Daphnia pulex: one gene and its partner. The protein of the gene in region 1 binds, or shares a complex with, the protein of each later gene. Links are inferred from orthologs where the notes say so. Each region holds a gene or a part of one and is shown in the gene's direction. Other genes may lie near its edges. The genes, in order: pre-mRNA-splicing factor syf1 homolog and pre-mRNA-processing factor 19-like.

Evidence for each region.
Region 2: pre-mRNA-splicing factor syf1 homolog (region 1) and pre-mRNA-processing factor 19-like share a complex: the UniProt entries of both Homo sapiens proteins name them as parts of the XAB2 complex. The link is inferred for Daphnia pulex from reciprocal best matches to the Homo sapiens genes XAB2 and PRPF19.

What each region holds. Positions count from the first base shown.
Region 1 is NC_060020.1:2,900,537-2,911,249, forward strand, and holds pre-mRNA-splicing factor syf1 homolog, read left to right. Parts: upstream 1-3,883; 5' UTR 3,884-3,974; intron 3,975-4,035; 5' UTR 4,036-4,192; coding exon 4,193-4,234; intron 4,235-4,302; coding exon 4,303-4,451; intron 4,452-4,535; coding exon 4,536-4,659; intron 4,660-4,727; coding exon 4,728-5,152; intron 5,153-5,225; coding exon 5,226-5,358; intron 5,359-5,423; coding exon 5,424-5,813; intron 5,814-5,878; coding exon 5,879-6,064; intron 6,065-6,132; coding exon 6,133-6,792; intron 6,793-6,851; coding exon 6,852-6,947; intron 6,948-7,012; coding exon 7,013-7,132; intron 7,133-7,193; coding exon 7,194-7,436; 3' UTR 7,437-7,502; downstream 7,503-10,713. Other genes in the region: pre-mRNA 3'-end-processing factor FIP1-like, read right to left, coding at 1,670-1,877, 1,950-2,096, 2,160-2,272, 2,335-2,580, 2,669-2,881, 2,940-3,176, 3,243-3,451, 3,582-3,705 and 1 more. UniProt on the Homo sapiens protein: Involved in pre-mRNA splicing as component of the spliceosome. Involved in transcription-coupled repair (TCR), transcription and pre-mRNA splicing.
Region 2 is NC_060022.1:3,387,591-3,398,262, forward strand, and holds pre-mRNA-processing factor 19-like, read left to right. Parts: upstream 1-7,859; 5' UTR 7,860-7,972; coding exon 7,973-7,991; intron 7,992-8,086; coding exon 8,087-8,236; intron 8,237-8,298; coding exon 8,299-8,440; intron 8,441-8,500; coding exon 8,501-8,642; intron 8,643-8,706; coding exon 8,707-8,892; intron 8,893-8,948; coding exon 8,949-9,134; intron 9,135-9,213; coding exon 9,214-9,550; intron 9,551-9,617; coding exon 9,618-9,967; 3' UTR 9,968-10,105; downstream 10,106-10,672. Other genes in the region: TRPL translocation defect protein 14-like, read left to right, coding at 473-601, 1,148-1,284, 1,347-1,487, 1,549-1,741, 1,815-2,022, 2,088-2,272, 2,675-2,748; uncharacterized protein LOC124195731, read right to left, coding at 3,255-3,705, 3,760-3,917; heterogeneous nuclear ribonucleoprotein 27C-like, read right to left, coding at 4,524-4,705, 4,768-4,837, 4,912-5,147, 5,305-5,494, 5,602-5,709, 6,091-6,173, 6,749-6,950, 7,154-7,361 and 1 more. UniProt on the Homo sapiens protein: Ubiquitin-protein ligase which is a core component of several complexes mainly involved pre-mRNA splicing and DNA repair. Required for pre-mRNA splicing as component of the spliceosome.

The sequences.
Region 1 (10,713 bases):
TACGTTATAAAGTCGGAAGGGGGAAGAAATAACTTTTCTCTTCCACCGTCTCATTCGAGTTTCTCTTGGATTCTCGATCGGTATTTGATGGATTGTGTCGATAAGTTTCGCGGCTGTGAATCATCAATCCACCGAAAATGAAAACAGCTCTGTGTTTGATTCTTTTCCTCTCTCCCAGATGTTCACTTCAATTCGCTAGATTTAAAGGGGTCGGTTTAGATCGCCATCTTGGTGGTCCATTATTTGATCACTTCCTTTTTACCCACTTCGTGTCTACGCTGAGTTGCGCTTGCTTATTGATTTTGTTTTCTCTGCTTCTGTGTTTCTTCGTAAATTTCTACAAGCTACACACTCCGTTTGGGAGATTGGAGGTGCCGTTGCCAATCAAGAAAAACGAAACAACTCCTTTCACCACGATTTGTTTATTTCATTTTTTTTTTGTTCCTTGTTTTGTTCATTGCTTCTCCCTTCCTTCATTGACTTGAGAAATGACATCAATTTCCCCTTACTTGATCCCAAAACAGAATTTCCCATCCTCAATTAGCGTTTTGGTTTTCTGTAAAGTGTACAGCGGCAAAAGTGAAAAGAGCGAACCTTTTCCATTATTTTACATAACAAAAACCAAGCGAAGTAAAAACAGTGGAAAGATTTTTGAAGGAAAATGCTCTTTTCTCTCCTTTTTCTCCACCCATCGACTGTAAATTTACGTTGTGTGCGGCAGTCAAGCTGTGTGGTGTGACCCCCACACACTCATTCGCTACGATACGTCACCAACTTTGTGGGTCCTTTTTTTGCGGATTTCTCCAAAACTTTCAACTCCTCGATTTCCTATTGTTTTTTTTTCTTTTTTCAGTTGTAGAACGCCGGTCCGCTTCGTAGATTTCCTTTATTGCTGACGCTACTTGGTTTATTTCAAATTCTTTGCTCTTTATCCCGTGGATTCTTCTCACACGGACCAATATTTTGTGAATTGTTTCTTTTTTCTCTTTAATTCTCACCAACTTCCTTTTGGACATTTGTCCCTTCTTTTCTTGTGTAGCTCTCCCCTTCCTACAATCCCTTGGTTTTTGCGTCAGTTATTTCCTGATTTTGGCTTTTATTTCGACCTTTATTATTAGAATGTATCCTTGTAAACGCTGGTGTTATGTATTGAAATTACGAAATGCTGTAAAAAATATCACTAGTGCTCTTTCCTCCCCTATCCCACCCCCCTTGTAAACATGATTCATGTACAAAAAAATCGTCCCCTCCAGAATTCGCTCTTCGACATCCCACATCCGCTTCCTTCCTCAAATCCTTTTTTTCTGGAAAATCAACGCTTCTCTCTTTCAATCTCTCCATCGAAAAGACAGTTTTCCTTTTTTTTAATATTAAATTCTGTGGTTGGAAAAAAGACAACACCTCCATATGTATTTCCGTAATAGCACACACTCTTTGTGCAACCGACTTTACCCTCTTTCATTTTTGAAAAAAAATACATCCCGAATATATGCGTTGGAATCTTTTCTTTTTGAATCTTATTCGATGGGCTGAAATAAATTGTGATTAAGACGAATAACTCAGGAAAATCAACAAAAATAGGTAAATGAAAAAAGGAGTGTATTTTTTTAAATTGGGCCAATTGCGCAAAATTTAACAAAGGCAGGGAGTGAAATCCGAGTATCGAAAACTAATCAGACGAGCTTTTGCTTTTACTTCTGTCCCTCTTTGAGCGCTTGGAGGAACGCTTATGAGAAGTGGGACTCCGACTCCGACTTTTACTGCCTCGGTGACGACGTCTACGATCACTACGGTCTCTTTCTCCTCGGTCACGATCACGATCTCTTTCCCGGTCACGGCCACTTACACGCTCTTTGTCCTTATCCGAGCGTCGATCCCTGTGTAAGTTGAACGAAATATATCAATTGCATTTTCAGAAGAAGCTCGTCAACGTTTGATTTTCCTCTTACCGTTTGTCGCGATCTCGGTCTCTATCGCGGTCACGATCCCTTTCTCTGTCTTTGCCTCGATCCTTTTCCACTTCTTTTTCTTTTTCTCGGTCGTCTTTAGGGGAGCGACTGCGCGAGCTACGGCGCCTTCGACTGCTGCTGCTTATCCTATTTGCAAGGAAGAGCTAATCAAATGCTGTACGGAGATCGAGTACCACTTATATACAGTACCGAGATTCTTCTCCAGGAACAGGAGGGGTCCCCAGGCTCTCTCTTCTTTGCTTTCCCGGTGGGTTCATTCCCATTGGTAGTGGTATTCCCATAGGTGGTGGTCCTCTCCAGTCCTAAGAGGAAAAAGTTATTTTTATTTTGTTTTGTTTTCTGTTATGGTCTTTAAAATCCTTACCGAAGATCCCCACTGTGAATCCTGAGTAGGTTCGTATTGGTAATAATCATCGCCAGGAGCTCCTGGGCCAGCCATGAACTCATTGGCGTAGGGATCAGGTACTATAGGTGGTGGTGGTAACATCATTGGTGGTGGAATTACTGGTGGCGGCATACCAAATGGAGGAGGTAGAGCCATATTTGGAAAACCAGGAGGAGGACGTGAGAAATCGATCGATACGGGAGGTTTCTCCACAGGAGCTTCAGGCTGATATTAAAATGAAATTTAAATAATAAACTTTAAAGTTTTTTGGTTGACTTTGGATGAATATTTTATTAAGGATACGGGGCCTTACCACTTCGGGAGGTTGCTCCTCCATAGAAGGAGCAGGTGAAACGCCTGATTCTGGTCGGCGTGAAGATAGATTCCCTCCACCAATGACATCAATGGCACCAGCCATTTTGCGTGCTGGCGGAGGGCCTGCTTTTTTCACAACCACTGACCCCGCATATTTTGAATTTTCGTTAACCACTGATATCGGAATCGCTTGGGCCGGGGTCGCCATCATCTGAATCAAAAAATAATAATATCGTCTTTGAGCTTCATTTGTTTACGTATTTTATTACCTTGGGTGGGGGTCCTAATCCAAGGCTAGCCGGAACACCAGCCCCAGACTCCATACGGGATCGCCTTTGTCTCTCACAATATGCTTGCCACGTTATTTCATTGAAACCGTAATTAAAATAATCAGTGATATCAGCACCAGGCTTCCTCCAAGGTTTATCTTCCAGCGAATCCAAACTAAATTCATGTGCTGGTACACCGTTAATCGCCATTGAGCCTTCGAACTCTTCCACAGTGAACTTAAGATAAGATACATATGTTAAAAACAAACTCTTGCATCAAACATGATGTAGCTCAATGTATACTTTGCTCTTTTCCCCCAATCCTTGTGCCGTTGTTCCAGCTGTTCCTCTTTTGACATTAAAACCAGCATAAGCTGCTGGGCCAGATTTTATGTCACCAATCGTGATTTGTACGTCATCATCACTTTCATCATCCTCATCGTCATCATTGTCTTGATCTTCATCTTGTCTCTCATCCTTTTCTTCGTTAGTCTCTGCAGCTTCTTCTGGATCTTTTACAATAGAAAATACAGGATGTTAAAACTGTTATGGGAAAACCAGACAAGCGATTCAACACAGGGAAAGAGACAAGGGATAATAGTTGAAGAACTTTTCCATAATTAAAAATGTACATGAAATTACCATAGCCTTCTCCAGCGTATTCCGTATTTCCGTCATTTCTGTCTATGGCAATATGATCTTCATTTTCGATTTCGTACATTTCTCCATTACCGGTGGTGTCTTGGTCGATTTTTCCATCATCGCCCTGAAAAAAAAAGAGACAAGTATCAATTTCAGTTGACGAACAATAATTTTTTTTTTAAACTCACGTATTCATCTGGTAACTGTTCCGAGGAATAAGGGAATTGTGAATTAGAATTATCTGCCTCATCTGGGTGCCGGACAGTGTCGGCCATATTCGGTTGTAAACAGCAGAAGACCCCACTTCAATTTAGGCCTGAGGGGACAAACAACAGCGAATGTACGCTTGTGGCTTGTCGGCTGTCGCTGTTTCACATCAAACGCAAAAATAAGGTATTTTTACTATAAAAACTTGTGATAATCCATTTTTATAATGATCTCGTTATATAAAAAGACGCTATTAGGGACAAAATTCAACTTTAATTTGGGTTAGACGTAAGTGTGCAACTTGGCAACACTTCACCCGGCAGACGTGCATTTACGTTTGGTTCGTAAATTTATTTGTTAAATTTTATTTGAGCCGAGTGGCTGCGAGAAAATTCATAAACAAAATGGATAAAAGTATAGGGAAGAAAACTGGAGACATTGTTTTGGTAATAATACATTGTTTTATATTGAAGTTGACTAATAGGTTTTAACAATATGTCTTCTGTCTTTAAAGTGTGAAGAAGATTTAGCGTATGAAGAGGAGATTCTACGGAACCCTTACTCTGTCAAACATTGGCTTCGCTATTGCGAGTTCAAAAAGGATGCCCCTCCTGTTGTTGTCAATTTGATTTATGAGAGAGCTTTGAAGGAAATGCCTGGCAGGTTCGTTTGATTGGTTCTTGTAGTAGTACATAGTAAATAAGTTTGTACTCATTTTCAACTATCCACATGTTTGTCTCTTCACAGTTACAAACTATGGTACAGTTATCTCTGCCTAAGAAGGAAGCAAACTAAAGGTCGCTGTATAACAGATCCACTGTATGAAGATGCCAACAATACTTTTGAAAGAGCATTGGTATTCATGCACAAGGTATCTTAAATGCCAATTATATTATTATCACACATTATTAAATACCATGTTTTTAATGAATACCATAGATGCCAAGGATTTGGATGGACTATTGCAAGTTTCTGACTCTTCAACAGAAGATTACCACTACGAGAAAGGTCTTTGACCGTGCTCTAAGAGCCTTGCCAATCACCCAGCATTCCAGAATTTGGCCCCTCTACTTGAAGTTTGTTAAAATGCATCCAATACCAGAAACAGCTGTTCGAGTTTTCCGTCGTTTTCTTAAACTATCGACCGAAGATGCAGAGGAATTTGTCGATTACTTAAAATCTATTGACAGACTTGATGAGGCAGCTGTTAAACTTGCCCAGATTGTGAACAAGGACAGCTTTGTTTCGAAGACAGGAAAATCAAACCACCAACTGTGGAATGAACTGTGCGAACTTAATTCGAAAAATCCCAAGCAAATTAAAAGTCTTAACGTGGATGCAATCATTCGAGGAGGTCTTCGACGGTGAGTGTCTGGAAAAAAATTAAATGCAAATATTTTTACAAACATAGGAATAATTTACTGGATTCTTATGTAGGTACACTGATCAACTTGGCCAGCTTTGGAATTCCCTTGCCGATTACTATATTAGAAGTGGTTTGTTTGAAAGAGCAAGAGATATTTACGAAGAAGCCATTCAGACAGTTACTACAGTACGAGACTTCACACAGGTAAAATACTTTGTGGTCGTCTTATTTAATGCGAATCAAGTTAACGTTTTTCTGATTTACGACAGGTGTTTGATGCCTATGCCCAGTTTGAAGAGTTGAATTTGAATCATATGATGGAAGAGATTGGTCAGAAACCTAATCCTACAGAAGACGATGATATTGAAGTTGAGTTGAGGATGGCCCGCTTTGAGGATTTAATGGATCGCCGGCCCTTGCTATTGAATTCTGTTCTTTTACGTCAAAACCCCCATAATGTCGCCGAGTGGCATAAACGAGTCCAGCTTTATGAGGGCAAACCTCATGAAGTTATCAATACTTTTACCGAGGCTGTCCAGACAGTCGATCCAAAGCAGGCCATTGGAAAGGTGCACACGCTGTGGGTCGACTTTGCCAAATTTTATGAGAAAAATGATCAGATTGACGATTCACGGATAGTTTTCGAAAAAGCTACGCATGTAAGTTGTTTTTGCAGTGCATTAAAAGCCTTTGATCCCCTCATCATTTTTGTGTCACTTTAAAGGTGAAATACGTGAAAGTTGATGAACTGGCGACTGTTTGGTGCGAGTGGGCCGAGATGGAGATCCGAAATTCTCATTTCCAAGAAGCTCTCAAGTTAATGCACCGTGTTACAACTCCTCCTGCACGCAAAATTAATTACCATGATGACGCCGAACAAGTGCAAACACGTGTTCATAAGTCACTGAAGGTATTTTATATTTTTAGCCACTTCCATTCTAATGATCTCTCTACGATTGTCACATTTTTATTTTCTAGATTTGGGGTTTGTACGCTGATCTTGAAGAAAGCTTTGGTACTTTCAAAACATGCAAGGCCGTGTATGACCGTATCCTCGAGTTGAAAATTGCAACACCGCAAATCATTATGAACTATGCCATCTTTTTGGAGGAAAATAACTACTTTGAAGAAGCTTTTAAAGCTTACGAACGTGGCGTTGCTCTTTTCAAATGGCCCAACGTGTACGACATCTGGAACACCTATCTCTCAAAGTTTTTGAAACGCTACGGCGGCTCAAAATTGGAACGAGCTCGAGATCTCTTTGAACAGTGTCTTGAGGGATGTCCGAATAAGTTTGCCAAGACTTTCTTTATGCTCTACGCTAAACTCGAAGAGGAACACGGCTTAGCCCGTCACGCTATGAACGTTTACGAGAGAGCCACCAAAGCTGTGCCAGCAAATGAGCGCTTTGACATGTACAATATGTACATAAAGAAGGCATCCGAGATTTATGGTGTGACCAAGACGCGCCACATCTATGAACGATCCATCGAAGAGCTACCCGATCACCAGGCTAGGGAAATGTGTTTGCGATTTGCCGATTTGGAGCGCAAATTGGGAGAAATTGACAGAGCCCGTGCTGTATACGGACATTGCAGCCAAATGTGCGACCCCAGAGTTGCGCCTGAATTTTGGAAGGTATCTTATCTTTTATTCAATTCCGTCCTAGAAAGTTATTCACCCATCATTTTTTTTAGGTTTGGAAAGAGTTTGAAATTCGCCATGGCAACGAAGATACGATGCGGGAAATGCTTCGAATCAAACGCAGCGTGCAGGCAACATATAATACACAGGTAAAGTCTCAACCTGATGAGTTTGAAGCCGATCTTAATTTTCTTGTTACATTTTTCGCTTTTAGATCAATATGATGTCAGCTCAAATGTTAGCTGCTGCGACCAACACTGCCGAAGCGGCGGCTGCTTCTCAGGATAGCATGAAAATGCTAGATGCAGAAGCTGAAGAATCTCGCCCTCCAGTGGTAATGAAACTCGTTACATTTCTCTTTATCTTCTTTTAATGCAATTTTTACAATTTATCAGCCTGTTGCCAAGCCTCTGGCGCGAGCTGGGAGCAACATCATGTTCGTCCGGAGTGAAACTCAGCCTGGTTCCGCAACCGAGGACATCCCTGCTGCTGCTGCTAACCCTGACGAAATCGACATTGATCAAGATGGAGACGATGACGAGGAAGAAGAGGAAGCTACCATTGAAGAACAGCAAGTTCCACGTCAAGTCTTTGGTAGCTTGAAAAAGGATGAAGAAGATGAAGAAGAAGCCCAATAACGAGTAACGTAAAAGAAGTTTTGAACGTATTCCATCGCTCAATACATGAGTTTTCTTTACAGAAAAGGTACTGTGCATTTTAATTTCACTAGTAATTACTGATAAACGTTTATTAAGACATTAATTTAAGGCTGCGTTCACGACAACGCATACAAATAATTACAACATAGACGATCTTTCTGCCAAGGCATAAACGTTTGTCGGGAATATTGCGTAATATCAAGTAAATTGACTTGAGCTGAGCCAATTACGTCGTACGAAGAAGTGCGAAACAGAAGAACACGATAGATAGATCACGTAGCAATTTATCCTCGATGCATACCGCGACCGGACATTCTTGAACGAGTGCGGCTACCGGTGTAGTATCTGCGGCCGGGTATGGCTTCAGCAGTGTCTAGATCAGCAATATTAGCATGCACGTTGGCGATATTTGCATATATGCTGGGGTTGGCTTCAAAGTTCTGGGGTGCTGCCATGATCACCGAACAAGAAATGGCGAAAACCAAGAGTAGGGAAACGACCTAATTATAACAGAACAATTATAACTTATTGTTACATAAATGTTTAACATGTGACATTTACGTTACAATGCGGTTATCAAATATTGCATTGATGATAACTAAAAGAGTTTTCTTTGAATTTTTGTGTTTTACGTACCTTCATTGCGATTGAGTGAGAGATTTTTTTTTAGCTAGTGTTCGTTCAACAGCTTTGACTTTCTATATGACACGCTTAAGGCCCTCCACGGCTTATTTATCCTGGACAGAGTTCCCGGAGGGGAAATCTTTCAGGTGTAGAAGGAGTTTCCTTTCGTCTGGACCGGATTGTGCTAAGATGGGCCTAACTATAAAACGTTATCAGATGTATTGTGAAACACGTACAGTAAACAATATGAGACCTTCTAAACAGATCAAGGGCATTATCATAAAGTCATAAACGGTCTTGTCCTTCATAATGACGCGCGGTAAATGTTTCGACCATTTTGTGCGAAAATCCCATCGTCTCGAGCTTTTACCTTGACACTGTACGACGGATGGCTAAAACATGTGCAATTATTTGTCGGAATTGAATCACCGATGTACCAGGAATAGTGGGAAAGCGTAAAGATTTATCGGGAATTTAATGATTATTCATTGGTTATTGGATTTTTTTTTTCGCCTATGAAATTTGTCGATTTTTTTCGTCGTCTGTCCTACTTTTGATTTGTAGGATTTTACTTCTCAGGGAAACACCAAACTCTAAAGAACAGGAAACGACCGTATGTATTTCCCACACATTCTGTTTTACTCGGCGATTCAAATGTACGAAAGGTTAGCTAGTCCTTCCACTGCCGGGGAAACTTGGCGCAATAAAAGCAAGTGTCAATGCAGGAAGTGTATATTTAATGCACAATATCGTATTACATGCCGATTAATACTGGATCACCCTGAAGTTACCCTTGAAAGGCTTTCAATTGGGAATACGCAATTCGTTTAACATTTTATCGTGGTTTCAAGTCCGAATACATTTTTCGCAGGTTTCACGATATAAACGTTAGCACATGAAAAAAAAATGAAACGTGAAGATATAAAGTACATTTCAGTACGTATCTTCGTGAGTCATTAAAATTGTTGCGTTTCAAAGATTCAGGACACAAAAATAAGGTCAGTAAATTTCCCTGCAACTATGAGTTAAATCAGGTTTGTCCAGAAAGATTATCACTCTCATCAAATTGGAGAAACTTGTCCCGTCATCCGACAACGCGATGGTGCGTGTGCCTTGTCCCGAGGTAAGGATGGCCGCGGTTGCGACTTGGATATCTTCCGTATGGTATCGATTCAGAACCCTCGAGATCAGTTTGTATGATGGGATTTGATTCAAGTCTAGCTGCTTCAATTAACACGTTAAAGCAGATGGCGAAGAGAACGAAGAGAAGTGAAAATATCTGCGAGCAATGCGAAGCAATTAGAACAAATAATTAAAATTAACAAAAAAATATTATCTATTTTCGCAATGCTATATATAATATCTTTTTGGAAATTTGTATGTAGCACTATCTTTATAATCAAACTATTTTACTGCCTACCTTCATTGCGATGAACAGAAGAGGATTTCTCCACTCGAACTGAGATTTCTTTTATGATCAAAAGTAACCTCAACAATGCTTATATAGCTGCTGATATAACAGGTAGTCTAGCTTCAAGCCTCAATCGAGTTTGTGAAATTCGGGAATCTGGAAGACCGGCTAGAAGGTGTAAAGTTGATTTCGAAATTGTTCAGTGAGAGGAGGGATGAGAAAAAGTGTAGTCGTAGCTGCGAGAGGAGAGAAAGTTAAAAGCTCACATTGCGTACGTCATGGCACCGTTTTTACAAGAAAAGGCATTGACCGGCTACAAAACTTGCAGACTATGTAAATTCCCTGTGGTTGTTATACGGTGATTCTAGAACCCAATTTGGACACGGACTTTTTTCCAGGTCATTTTTCTTACAATAAGCAAAAAGCCAATCAACAAAAAAACAATCAACAGATTTTTATGATTGAACGTTAATTCCTGTTCTTGTTAGATTTTTCTAGAAATAACTTAACAGAAGGAATCGTAGTCATACTGTCTACGAGAATCCTGTATCCAAGCCAGCTGACCATGTAAACACAATGGCGTACGCTGTCGTCATTTTTTAAATGGTATATTCTGATGTAGACGGAACTCGATCGCCTTGATTCCGTTGCCCTTGCAGCACCATTTTTTAGTCTTTGATAATTAATTGGCATGATTTTTTTTTTGCAATGCATTGCTCATTCATTCACTCTAGTGTGAATGTGGTTTTGACGGAGTAAAAACTCGCAAATTGCCGAGACAAATATGAATGAGAAAAAGTCGGTCGGTGAATTAATTGGTTGGCTTGCAATTGAAAATTTTTTGCCGACTTTTAATCAAATCTGTCAACTACTAGTTAGAAGTTTTTAGTGTGTGAAGGGCATTGATATAAGATAAGCCAGCGTATCGGATGTCATCCAGTAATGCGGTAGGGATTTCTTGTTCCACTGCATACGGATAAAGACGACGGTAGCGCCCCAGGACTGTTTCTATAGTAAAAGCGGTTACATAATATAAACTTACCTAAAAAGTGAGACCCTGAAAACGACTCAACATGTAGGTCAAAAACGTACGGTATAGCTTCCGCAGTGTCGGGATCAGGAAGGTCACTTGCATTGATGGTGGGCTTAGCCTGGAGTTGTGCTGCCGCGACTAGCATCAAACAGGCAAAAATGAAAAGGAAGAAAAGTGCCTTTGTCAAT
Region 2 (10,672 bases), on another chromosome or scaffold:
GTGTTCAACTGTGGTGAAACTAAAAGGATGAGAAAAAAGTTGCGAAACTTTGTTATGGATTCATGATGGATGGGTTAGATATCGCCCGCCGGAATAGCGGACATTCGAGCCTTTGTATATTGGGGTTCAATTTGCTGCCAAGTGAAGCCTCGTCAGTGGGACTTGTTATCGATGGGAACCGACTGCAAATGTTAGATGCTGAAAGAATGCGCATTGCTTGAGGTTTAGTCGATTCCCGTTATCCGCTTTCACTGATCAAATATCATCCCCGCATATCGTCTGAAGGCGATCGAACTGAATCATTGATGACCCCCCTCCTCCTTCGACCGATCGTGTGTCACGTTAACAAAAGGATGTGGTCAAATGTACACGTCCATCCCGTATTGATTGGTCATTAGACTCCAGTTTGCAATTGTGTTGATGATATGTAGTTTAATCAAATTATCATCTCGTTTTATTTCCTCTCATGCAGCTATCACATTTCAAGAGAACTTGCTGAAGACGATGATCCAAATGGAGAATACATTTTTCGCTCTTGCTGAACATTTCAACCGCGATTGCATTATTATTTGCGACCGAGGAACTATGGACGCATCCGCATGTAAGTTGCCATAGAGATTTCGTTCTCATTTTTCCACGTGAATAATTTAGTCTAGCTCAGTTGCAAGTAAGGATGGATCTATAGTGACATGCCCCACGAACATGTTAGTAAACCAATACTAGTGGTCCGATTTCGCTTTGAATCGAACAGGAGATGAAGTTGGCGAGATCGTGCAGAAATTGCGTGATTCCACGTGAAGCACGTACGCAAAGTATTGATTGCTGAAAGTAGTACATCCCGGAGATTAAATGATTTCTCCAACTTCTTCACGAAATGTTGCCAGTATAATATAGCTTCGCGGTTTAGTAATTAAATGCGCGGTTTCTAGCATAGATAGCGTGATATTCGTTAAACCAGTTTCACCTTGATAAATAGCATGACCATAAAACTCAAGGTTATTGAGAAAACGCTTGGCTCAAGTTTATGTTATCAATATATAACATGTGTATGTAATTGTGGTTAATGGAGTTTTACGCAATAATAAGTCAATGTCGTTTCACATTTTATCTCATGGATTATGTCTATTAAACTAGTTATTTTTATTAGTTGTCTCAAAGGAAGTTTGGGAGCAGTTGATGAAAACAAACGGGTGGAATCCGGTTGAGCTAAGAGACACGAGATACAACCAGATAATCCACATGGTATCAGCTGCCAAAGGCGCTGAGGACTTTTACACTACTGAGGTAATAACATACATTAAAATGAAATTTAGTGATACTCATTCATGTTTTTAAATCAACAACAGGATCACTCTTGCCGGAGTGAAAATCTGGATTTGGCCCACACACTAGATGATCGTGCGGCTGAAGCTTGGATTGGCCATCCTTATTTTGACGTTATCGACAATTCGACTAATTTCGATACTAAACTCCGTCGCATGATTAGCGTAAGCTTACGGTAAATTTTGTTTATTCGGAACAACTTATTTTCATTCGTCGATTTTATAGGCCGTATGTCAGCGAATGGGTCTGGACACTGGAGACCGTTTGGAAACCAACGCTAAGAAGTTCAAGTTCTTAGTTCGTTCATTGCCCGATGACAGTATGTTTCCTCCTTTTGAGGATTTTGACGTCATTCATGACTATTTACAGACCAATTCAAAGAAGACGCAAGCTCGCTTAAGAAAAAGAGGCCAAAAAGGTGAGCTTCTATCCGTAGGATTAATAATTTGATTGAATTCGTTGTGTATTGATTGCTCGTTGCATGTCGCTAGATCGCTGGAGTTACACCTTAACTGTACGTCGGCCGGAAGTACGTGGTCAAGTGGTAGAAATCAAGACGCAAATCACCAGCAGAGATTACACTAACATGCTGGAGCAACGTGATCCTTTTCACCTAACCATTTTAAAGAAGAGACGTTGCTTTCTCTATCACAACCAGTATTTCCAACTGGATATTTACAAAGAGCCTTGCCATCCGAGGTATACTTAGCAATTGGATTTTTTCCAACAGAAACACTTCACTATACCAAAAACGCTTTTCATAGATGCCACGGCCTAGTGTTGTTGGAAACGTATACGACGCAATCGTTGGAGGAATTCCAAGCTAATAAATTGCCCGATTTCCTTGACATTGTCGATAACGTGACGGGCGATCCGACCCACTCTATGTACAACCTTTCTCTTAAAGAGGAATGGTTAAATAATAAAAAATTCTGCTTCAAACTTGCAGGTAACGCAATATCCGATAACAAATATTTGGTATTTTTCTTGTGTGTGTTGTGGAAATCCTGGGAGGGTTTGTACCGTTCACAGGGGAGTTCACATACATTGTGGGGAAATATTGTGTAAGTTATAGTTACATATTAAAGGATCCATATTTTAAATTATTGACTCAGCTGAATTGCACGAGGAATTGGGCTGAGGTAAGGAACACCGAGCTTGATGGCTAATGATCGAGTCGGATGCATGCGTGTGTATCATAGGAGAATTTTCACCACAGAATTTATTTAGCAAATCACAATTTTTTCGTATCCTAGTATTTGTTCCTTATTTTCTACTTTTATTTTAAGTTTAAGTCTCGTAGAATTTGACTAATAATTTTTTTTTGTATCTGAATATCAAAAATCTGCAGCCGACGACGAAGATGACCTGACTGGAAGCCCTCGAACCAATGGCTGGATAGGACCACACGTTAATGGAGTTTAGTAGCGATTCTCAGCACATATGGTCAAGGGCACGTTAAGTAACCGACTATTAAATCTGATTCCTGTGAGTCTCAGTTCTTATTCAAGTTATTCTACTCTCACTATATCAACTCCCCCCCCCCCCCACATACAAAGGTAAAAGAAGAAATAAAGAAAGCAAGAATAGAAAAATTTTCTGGGAACACCTGACTCATGATAACTACGATTTTCTTACTGCTGCTTTGTAATAACTACAAAAGTTGCAATACGCTCGTGTTAAAGTTATTAGCTAGTCTACTAAATGATGATCGCCGATAAACTGTAGCATTTGGCCGTCAATACTTAAGCGACCGTGTTACAATTTCTTCATTTACCCTTTACAAGTGCATTATATCCCATGTAGTATTAAAATAACCTTCATTTTCTTAGACAAATACAATATTGTATTCTTGCAGTAATACAAATTCTGGAAATTTCAAGTGTATCATTTTAACATTTACAAGTTGAATTTAAGTTCAATGGTGCAGATTATGCCCCTTTACCTTTTTTTGCAGTGTAACAACTTTGACTGGTAGCAGAAATTGGTCTTTTTGTTGCATGAGAAGTGGTTTGAGATGTAATGACAGAGTCCTGATCATAATCAGAACTGCTTACACTTTGCTGATTTATTTCTTGATTTTGTTTCTTCTGCAAGAGCTCAGAGTCATGAGCAAAGACACAGTTTGACCCAAATCTGCACCTCCCTTTCCTATAGTTCCAGCAAATTTTTCTCCCATTGATTTCTTTGATGTCTTCAAGTTTGGGGGTGAATTTTACATGCTTTTCAAGTGTGCCCTTTTCTGCTTCCTCTGCTTCTTTGTATGGATTTGCAAACACAGATTTTCCTGACACTGAAGTCTCTGAACTGCGAAAAGGGTTTTTCAAGTTCTTTAAATGTTCATCTTGCAACGAAAAGTTATCTGCTTGATCGTTTTCTTCACTAAAAAATGAAATATTTAGAAATTTAAAAAATTCATAGAGAAATTTGTCATACCCACTACTACTATCATCAAAAACCTGAAAAAAATTATTTTTGATTTTTGATTTCACAGGATCTTCAGCAAGTTCTGTTTGTGTTGATTCTTTTGTTTCCGTTCCAGAACTTTCCGAGCTATCCGATCCATAACCCACCAACAAATTTAACGAAGTCATCTAATTTTTTATCGTAGAAGCTTAACGAGTGCTTAATTTAAACTAAAGAAATGGTGAATTATTTAAAATTTTAGTAGATCTCTTAACTGACTTGCAGAACAATGTGTAGTTGTGTTGTGTACTGTACATTGTTGCAGACGACATTACCCAAAACACAAGAGAAGTCATAGGGTTACCCAGCCCTCTGTTGAAAAAGTTTAGAGACAGGTTTTTTTTTTCAAAGATAAGTGATCAGTAGTTTATTAAATATCAAAGTGTAAATCGTGATTGTTATTAGTATAGATCAGTACCAGCAAAATTGCAATTCAATCAACGTGTAATCGGAAGTTTGAAAGTGCATACTATCTCGGATTTTTTTAAAGAAACTTGCACACAAGGATTTAAGAACTAATTAACTACAGTTTTATTCGAACGCATCGAAAAGTCATGAATAGCTCAGGTTCAGAACGTAATGTTAGGGCGGGATTCAAAGAGAAACGTCGAAACGATACAGACAAGAACACACCGAATGCACGACAGATTGGCCATCATTTAAATGTTTGTCCAGCCATAGGGCTAAGCAATGTGCAACTTAAAACACACAAAAAAAAAACACTGATGATTTTCTCAAACGCCTCCTCGGCGATATGGGTGGTATTGAGATTGCGACGGCTGGTGGTGGTGACCACCTCCTCGTTGAGGACCCGGTCCTCCAGGGCCAGCAGCTCCGGCTCCTGCTCCAGGAACACCAAGACCATTACCGGCAGGTGCAACGCCAGGTGGTGGGACTCTTTCTGGATTTCCATAGCCTAAAAAAATAACCATAATTATCATAAAGATCCTTTTTTGTAAAAACTAAATTAACAATCACCTTGTCCACCTCCATATCCTTGAGCGTTAGCTTCTTGGGCGTATCCTCCTCTGTATCCTTGGTTAACGTCCTTGGATAATAATAAAAAAAAAAACGATTGAATTCCTAAAAAAATGTAACATTTGACTCGCACAATTAACTTACTGTTCCATAGCCATTAGTTCCGTATCCAGCACCGTACTGAGCAGGTTCAGCTTTTACTCCAGGAACTCCAGGTCCAGTAGGGGCAGCTGCGCCCGGAGGACCACCATTAGTTGGGTTAGGACCTCTACCATACATATCGCCGTTGGGACCTGGGCCACCAGGTCCACCTCCTTGTGGGCCCGGTCCTCCCCAATTCCAGTTGTTGTATCCACCTTGTTGAGGTCCACCTTGAGGGCCTATATAGTTTAACACGTTCTTATTTTCATTCATCTACGCGGTATCAAAGACAATGTGATTCATGGAAAAACTTCTATTTAGAAAATCTCAGCCAATTTATCTTCGAAATATATCCTGGAGAAGAAACAATCACTTTATCAGCATACACTTTATTACCATAGCCATAATTAGCTCCTGGTCCTCCTCCATATCCTCCCCACTGCCCTTGTGGGCCCCATCCTTGATATCCACCTTGGGGTCCATATCCATATCCACCTTGATTGGCAGGTCCACCCCATCCTTGATAACCACCACCCATGGGAGGGCCCATCGGTCCACCCATTGGGCCACCCATAGGACCCATACCCTAAATGGCAAAAACGCAAAAAAAAAAAAAGAAAAAAGAAAAACACAAATCGATTATTTAAAATCTGTTTGTAACTTAAGTTTGAGCAAGAAAGCTTAGTGACTTACCCCATGCATTCCCATTCCCGGACCTTCCCATCCACCATTGTGTCCTCCACGTCTCATTCCACCAGATGATCCTCGAGTATCACGGGGCTCTGCTTTCTTGATTTCAACCTATGGTCCAAAAGAAATCTTTATTCCTTGTTTGATGACTAATGTTAATTCTAACATTAGAACGAATTATTATGCATTCATATTTTTTTAAAACAATAAAGAGAGCTCACCACCGACCTTAACTTGTTACATTATTGATAAGATTATCTATTGTTTTCTATGAGTTAATTACAATTACTATTTAGAAGACCAATAGATTGGTACAAAGACCAGCTTAACTCGACGGTTAGATACATTTTCTAAATAAACTTTAAAAATATATAAGATCAAGTGTCGGCGAGGTTTAAACAATGGTGAGCCCTGATTATTCATACTTCCGATTGCGTTTTTCACAAAGAGTAAGGGAGAGGGACATTGGTTGTTGTTTTGATGATAGAATACCTGCTTTCCATTGATTGAAACATAGTGTTCACCAGTGCAGCGATCCACCGACTCCTCCGATTCAAAGGTCAAAAAGCCAAAGCCTGTCCCAAGGTTTTCCAAATTGCTTATTACACTTTTTTTATACCACTTTTCTTTACATCTTTCTTTGATCTCATTAATAATCATTAGAAGAAATCTTGGGACAGGCCTGACTAAATTATTTTTCAACCATAACTTTTGACTGTAGATCTGATGAGATTGATACCGGATTCTAATACTTGAAGAGAAATAAATCTAATACATCGTTAAAAACTAGAGTTGTGATTATGAAAGAAATATTGACTCAACCCAATGGGTATGCCAATATTTAGTCAGATGTAAAACTTGTAAATCCACCCTCCCAAGTTCCTTAATGGCATATTATCTACTGTAATTCGCGGAAACTCTTTCACATGAGCAGTAGAAGTAAACGTGGATAGGAACTTAGCCATTTGCTTACCTATAGGAATAAAATAACCACACTATTAAAGTTAGCAAAGTTATCAAAAAAGGAATCCATCGAATCTTCGGAATATAACCACTTACACTTGCGTCATACGTTATGTAAGGACGTTCATAGTTTATTTACGCTGTTTTAATTAACTTTAATACCCACTAATTGAGGAAAGTGACTCACCTCGAGATTTTTTCTTTTCTTGGTCGTACATGATAACGACTTCAGAGACCTTTCCGTACTGCGAGAAGAAGTTACGAAGATCTGTTTCTGTCAAGTTTGATGGAAGCCCACCTAAAAATACTTTGTAACCATTTCCTGTACCCATACTCCGGCGAGGAGCGCGTACCATTTCGGCACGTGGATTACAAGGTTTGGGGTCAATCTGCATAAACATAAAAATATGAGATCATAAAAAACAACCAAAAATGTAGAAAGAAATCAAATATATATCTCAAGTTGAGATATAAACTTCAATTCCTTCCACTTCTATGTAGCAATACCGCGAAAGGAGATAAAATTATGTTAAACATTCTATCACCGCTCAGGTAGTGCAAATAAGAGTATGAAGAAAATATAAAAACTTACTGTGCGATTATCGAGTATATGGGGTGTGTTTTGTAGTACTAAACCAACATTGTTAGGATCAGCAAATGTAATGAACCCAAACCCTCTCGATCTACCAGTTTCTGGGTTCTTCATTACCACACAGTCAACAACTTCACCATACTGACTGAAATATCGAAGCAAATTATCGCGCGTCGTTTCCCAGCTTAAACCTCCGATGAACATTTTACTAAAAAAACAAGATTCGTACCAAAAAATAGTAAATGGACGCAAATCATGAAAAGCTTAGTGTACGGCGTCATGGATTTACATTCTCCCATGAACTTCACATGTCATATTATAAATGGAAAAAATTTCTTACCCTTGTTCATTCGAATTATCACCACCTTCTTTTCCAGGGAATTTTTGTTGAGAGGCCATTGTTCAGTTTAAATTGAATATAACAGTAAACGAATCTTTCAAATTTTCGAGGAGTGTTCGCACTGCGCTTGGGTTGGCTTCTTCAGTTGAGAAATGGGGGAAATGGCTGGCCCGGCATTTCAGTCAGTTTGCACCGTTGCCTGGACACTTTTTCTAGTTGAAAACTTGAAACTTAAATTATGAAATTATTACTTATAAAAAACTATGCTGTTTCTTTTACACATTCCAATAAAAAAATTTCTGAGTCTTAAAAAAATGATTGGATTTTGAAAAGAAAAGAAAACTCGCACTGAGGAATGAAGCGCTTTATTGAATAGTGTAGTCTAGCAACTGTTTAGCCCTAAGCGAAGCGAACATATGCATCTTGGCTTGTCGCACATTTTTGTGAAAAGTATATAAAAAAAGGTTACACGCTTCATCATGGCCCTCTGTTGTTCTCGTAATATTACATTTTCATTATAAATATCAATTTAAAACCAATCCATTCTTCTGAGAAATTTGATATTTAATGTCTTATATCTCTTGCTTATATAGTGTCGAACGAAGTTCCCGAACATCCTGTGGTCTCACCGGTGTCAGGATCTGTGTTTGAACGTCGGCTGATTGAAAAGTACATTGCTGATAACGGGGTAGATCCCATCAATGGGAAAGAAATAACTGTAGATCAACTTATTGAAATCAAAAGTAAGAAATTTTTTATCAAAGTTCCACAATGAATTTACATGTAATTGAAATTTTGTTTCTAGCCCCCCCAATTGTTAAGCCTAAAGTGCCATCTGCAACAAGCATTCCCGCCGTGCTTAAGTCTTTACAAGATGAATGGGATGCTGTCATGTTAAATTCCTTTACTTTGAGGCAACAATTACAAACTGCTCGACAAGAATTGAGGTATTGACCAACTTAATTACACATGGAATTATTGTGCAAACATTCTCTTTCTATTTGTAGTCATGCTCTCTACCAACATGATGCTGCTTGTCGTGTTATTGCACGCCTCCACAAGGAAGTGTCTACAGCACGGGAAGCACTTGCAACTCTTAAGCCCCAGACTGGCTATGCTGCTGTATCTACACCATCTGTTGCTGCCTCAGTAAGAAAGCATTATGATATTTATTTGTATGTTATTTATGATAAATTTACTGATTTGATGTAAGGCTGAAGCGGGTGGTGTGGCAGCACAACCGATCGAGGCAGCTGGATTAACTCCGGAAATCATATCACAATTACAAGATAAAGCCACTGTTCTTACTCAAGAACGAAAACGTAGAGGCAAAACCATGCCCGAAGGCTTAGCTACAGCAGAAGCTTTGAAGGGATATAAAACTTTGGCATCTCATCCGGTAATGACATATAATTTTGAAATGTTATCCCATCTTCATGGATTGATTACATATAGGCTTTGCACAGTGCAAGTATGCCCGGAATTTTGACCATGGACGTTCACGCCGCCGATACTTCTCATATTTTGACTGGAGGTAACGATCGATGCGCTACAGTTTTTAACAAGGACACTGAGCAGGTTGTTGCTGTTCTCAAGGGACATACAAAAAAAGTTACCAAGGTGCTTTATCATCCAGAAGAGGTAATTTCATGTTTTCTTTTAATTTTCTCTTGATTTACTTTGTTATATGATACTAATATACCCCTTGAATCTGTTATAGGAAGTCGCGATAACAGCATCTCCTGATGCGACGATTCGTGTTTGGAATATAACCGGCTCCTCACAATCTGCCATCATCCGTGCTCATGATGGCCCTGTCACAGGCTTGTCGCTCCACGCAACCGGAGAATATGTTTTGTCGACGTCACTGGATCAACACTGGGCATTTTCAGACATTCGCGTTGGGCGGTTGTTGACAAAGGTTGCCGACACAGACGGAAATCCGCTTACGACAGCCCAGTTCCATCCAGATGGTCTCATTTTCGGCACTGGAACACAAGATTCACAGATCAAAATTTGGGATTTAAAAGAACAATCTAACGTGGCCAACTTTCCAGGTTTGGCTCTTTTAAAATAATCTTGTGATAAACATTAGCTTTACTATTACCATTTTTACAATTACAGGTCATTCCGGTCCTATTGCGGCTTTGTCATTTTCAGAAAATGGTTACTATTTGGCTACAGCGGCAGAAGACTCTTGCGTCAAATTGTGGGATTTACGGAAATTGAAGAATTTTAAAACAATTCAGCTCGACGAAGGATACGAAGTTAAGGACTTGTGCTTCGATCAAAGCGGCACCTACCTTGCTGTGGCTGGTACCGACGTGCGTGTTTATCTCTGCAAGCAATGGGAAACTCTTAAGACTTTTAACGACCATACAGCATTGGCTATGGGAGTCCGTTTCGGCAACCATGCGCAGTCGATAGCGTCTGTGAGTATGGATCGTACGCTGAAAATTTATGGCATCGAGTGATTCACTGTATTCAATGTTGAGAGGGGATTTTTAAATGAACATTTTTCGTCTTATCCTTTTTTTTGCTGTAAGGTGTGCAAACCGCATCGAACTCTCGCCCTCACAAAAATACACGCGTTTCATTTTTCCCATCAAAAACAATTCTACGAGTGTATATCGATAGTTAAGTTTCCCGCGTTACTATCGATACATTAAATAAAACAAAAAGCTTCGAAATTTTGTCACTAGTGGCGTGGCAGTTCGCTTGGCATTTTCGCTTTCTTGAAGCATATCCCAATGGCGGCTTAGGCAATCGATGCATCGGCCGCTCCTTCGTACAGGGGTTTATGTATTTGGCCTAAAATGCCGGTCGACTCTTGTAAACAAGGAATAGTGAGATCATACTACGTTAATTTCAAATTTCATAGTTCAAATTCTTCATATTGGATTGCTATCCTGAATCAAGATTTTTCCAGATAAAGTACGAGGTAAGTCGCCCAAAAACAGTTCCTTCAACCGTCGCTTCTATCAAGTTGCATTGTTGCATCTTTTGTAATTGGAAGCGTGGTTTTGTTGAATGAATAAAATTTTCTGCCCTTCAAAAAATTTGTCTTCTTTAATTTGACGCATTTTTTTTTCTCCCTAAAGAGTTGACACAACTACTTTAATTAGCTTACACATTAATCAGAACTGTTTTATGATGATTCATTTATTTGACAACTAGAA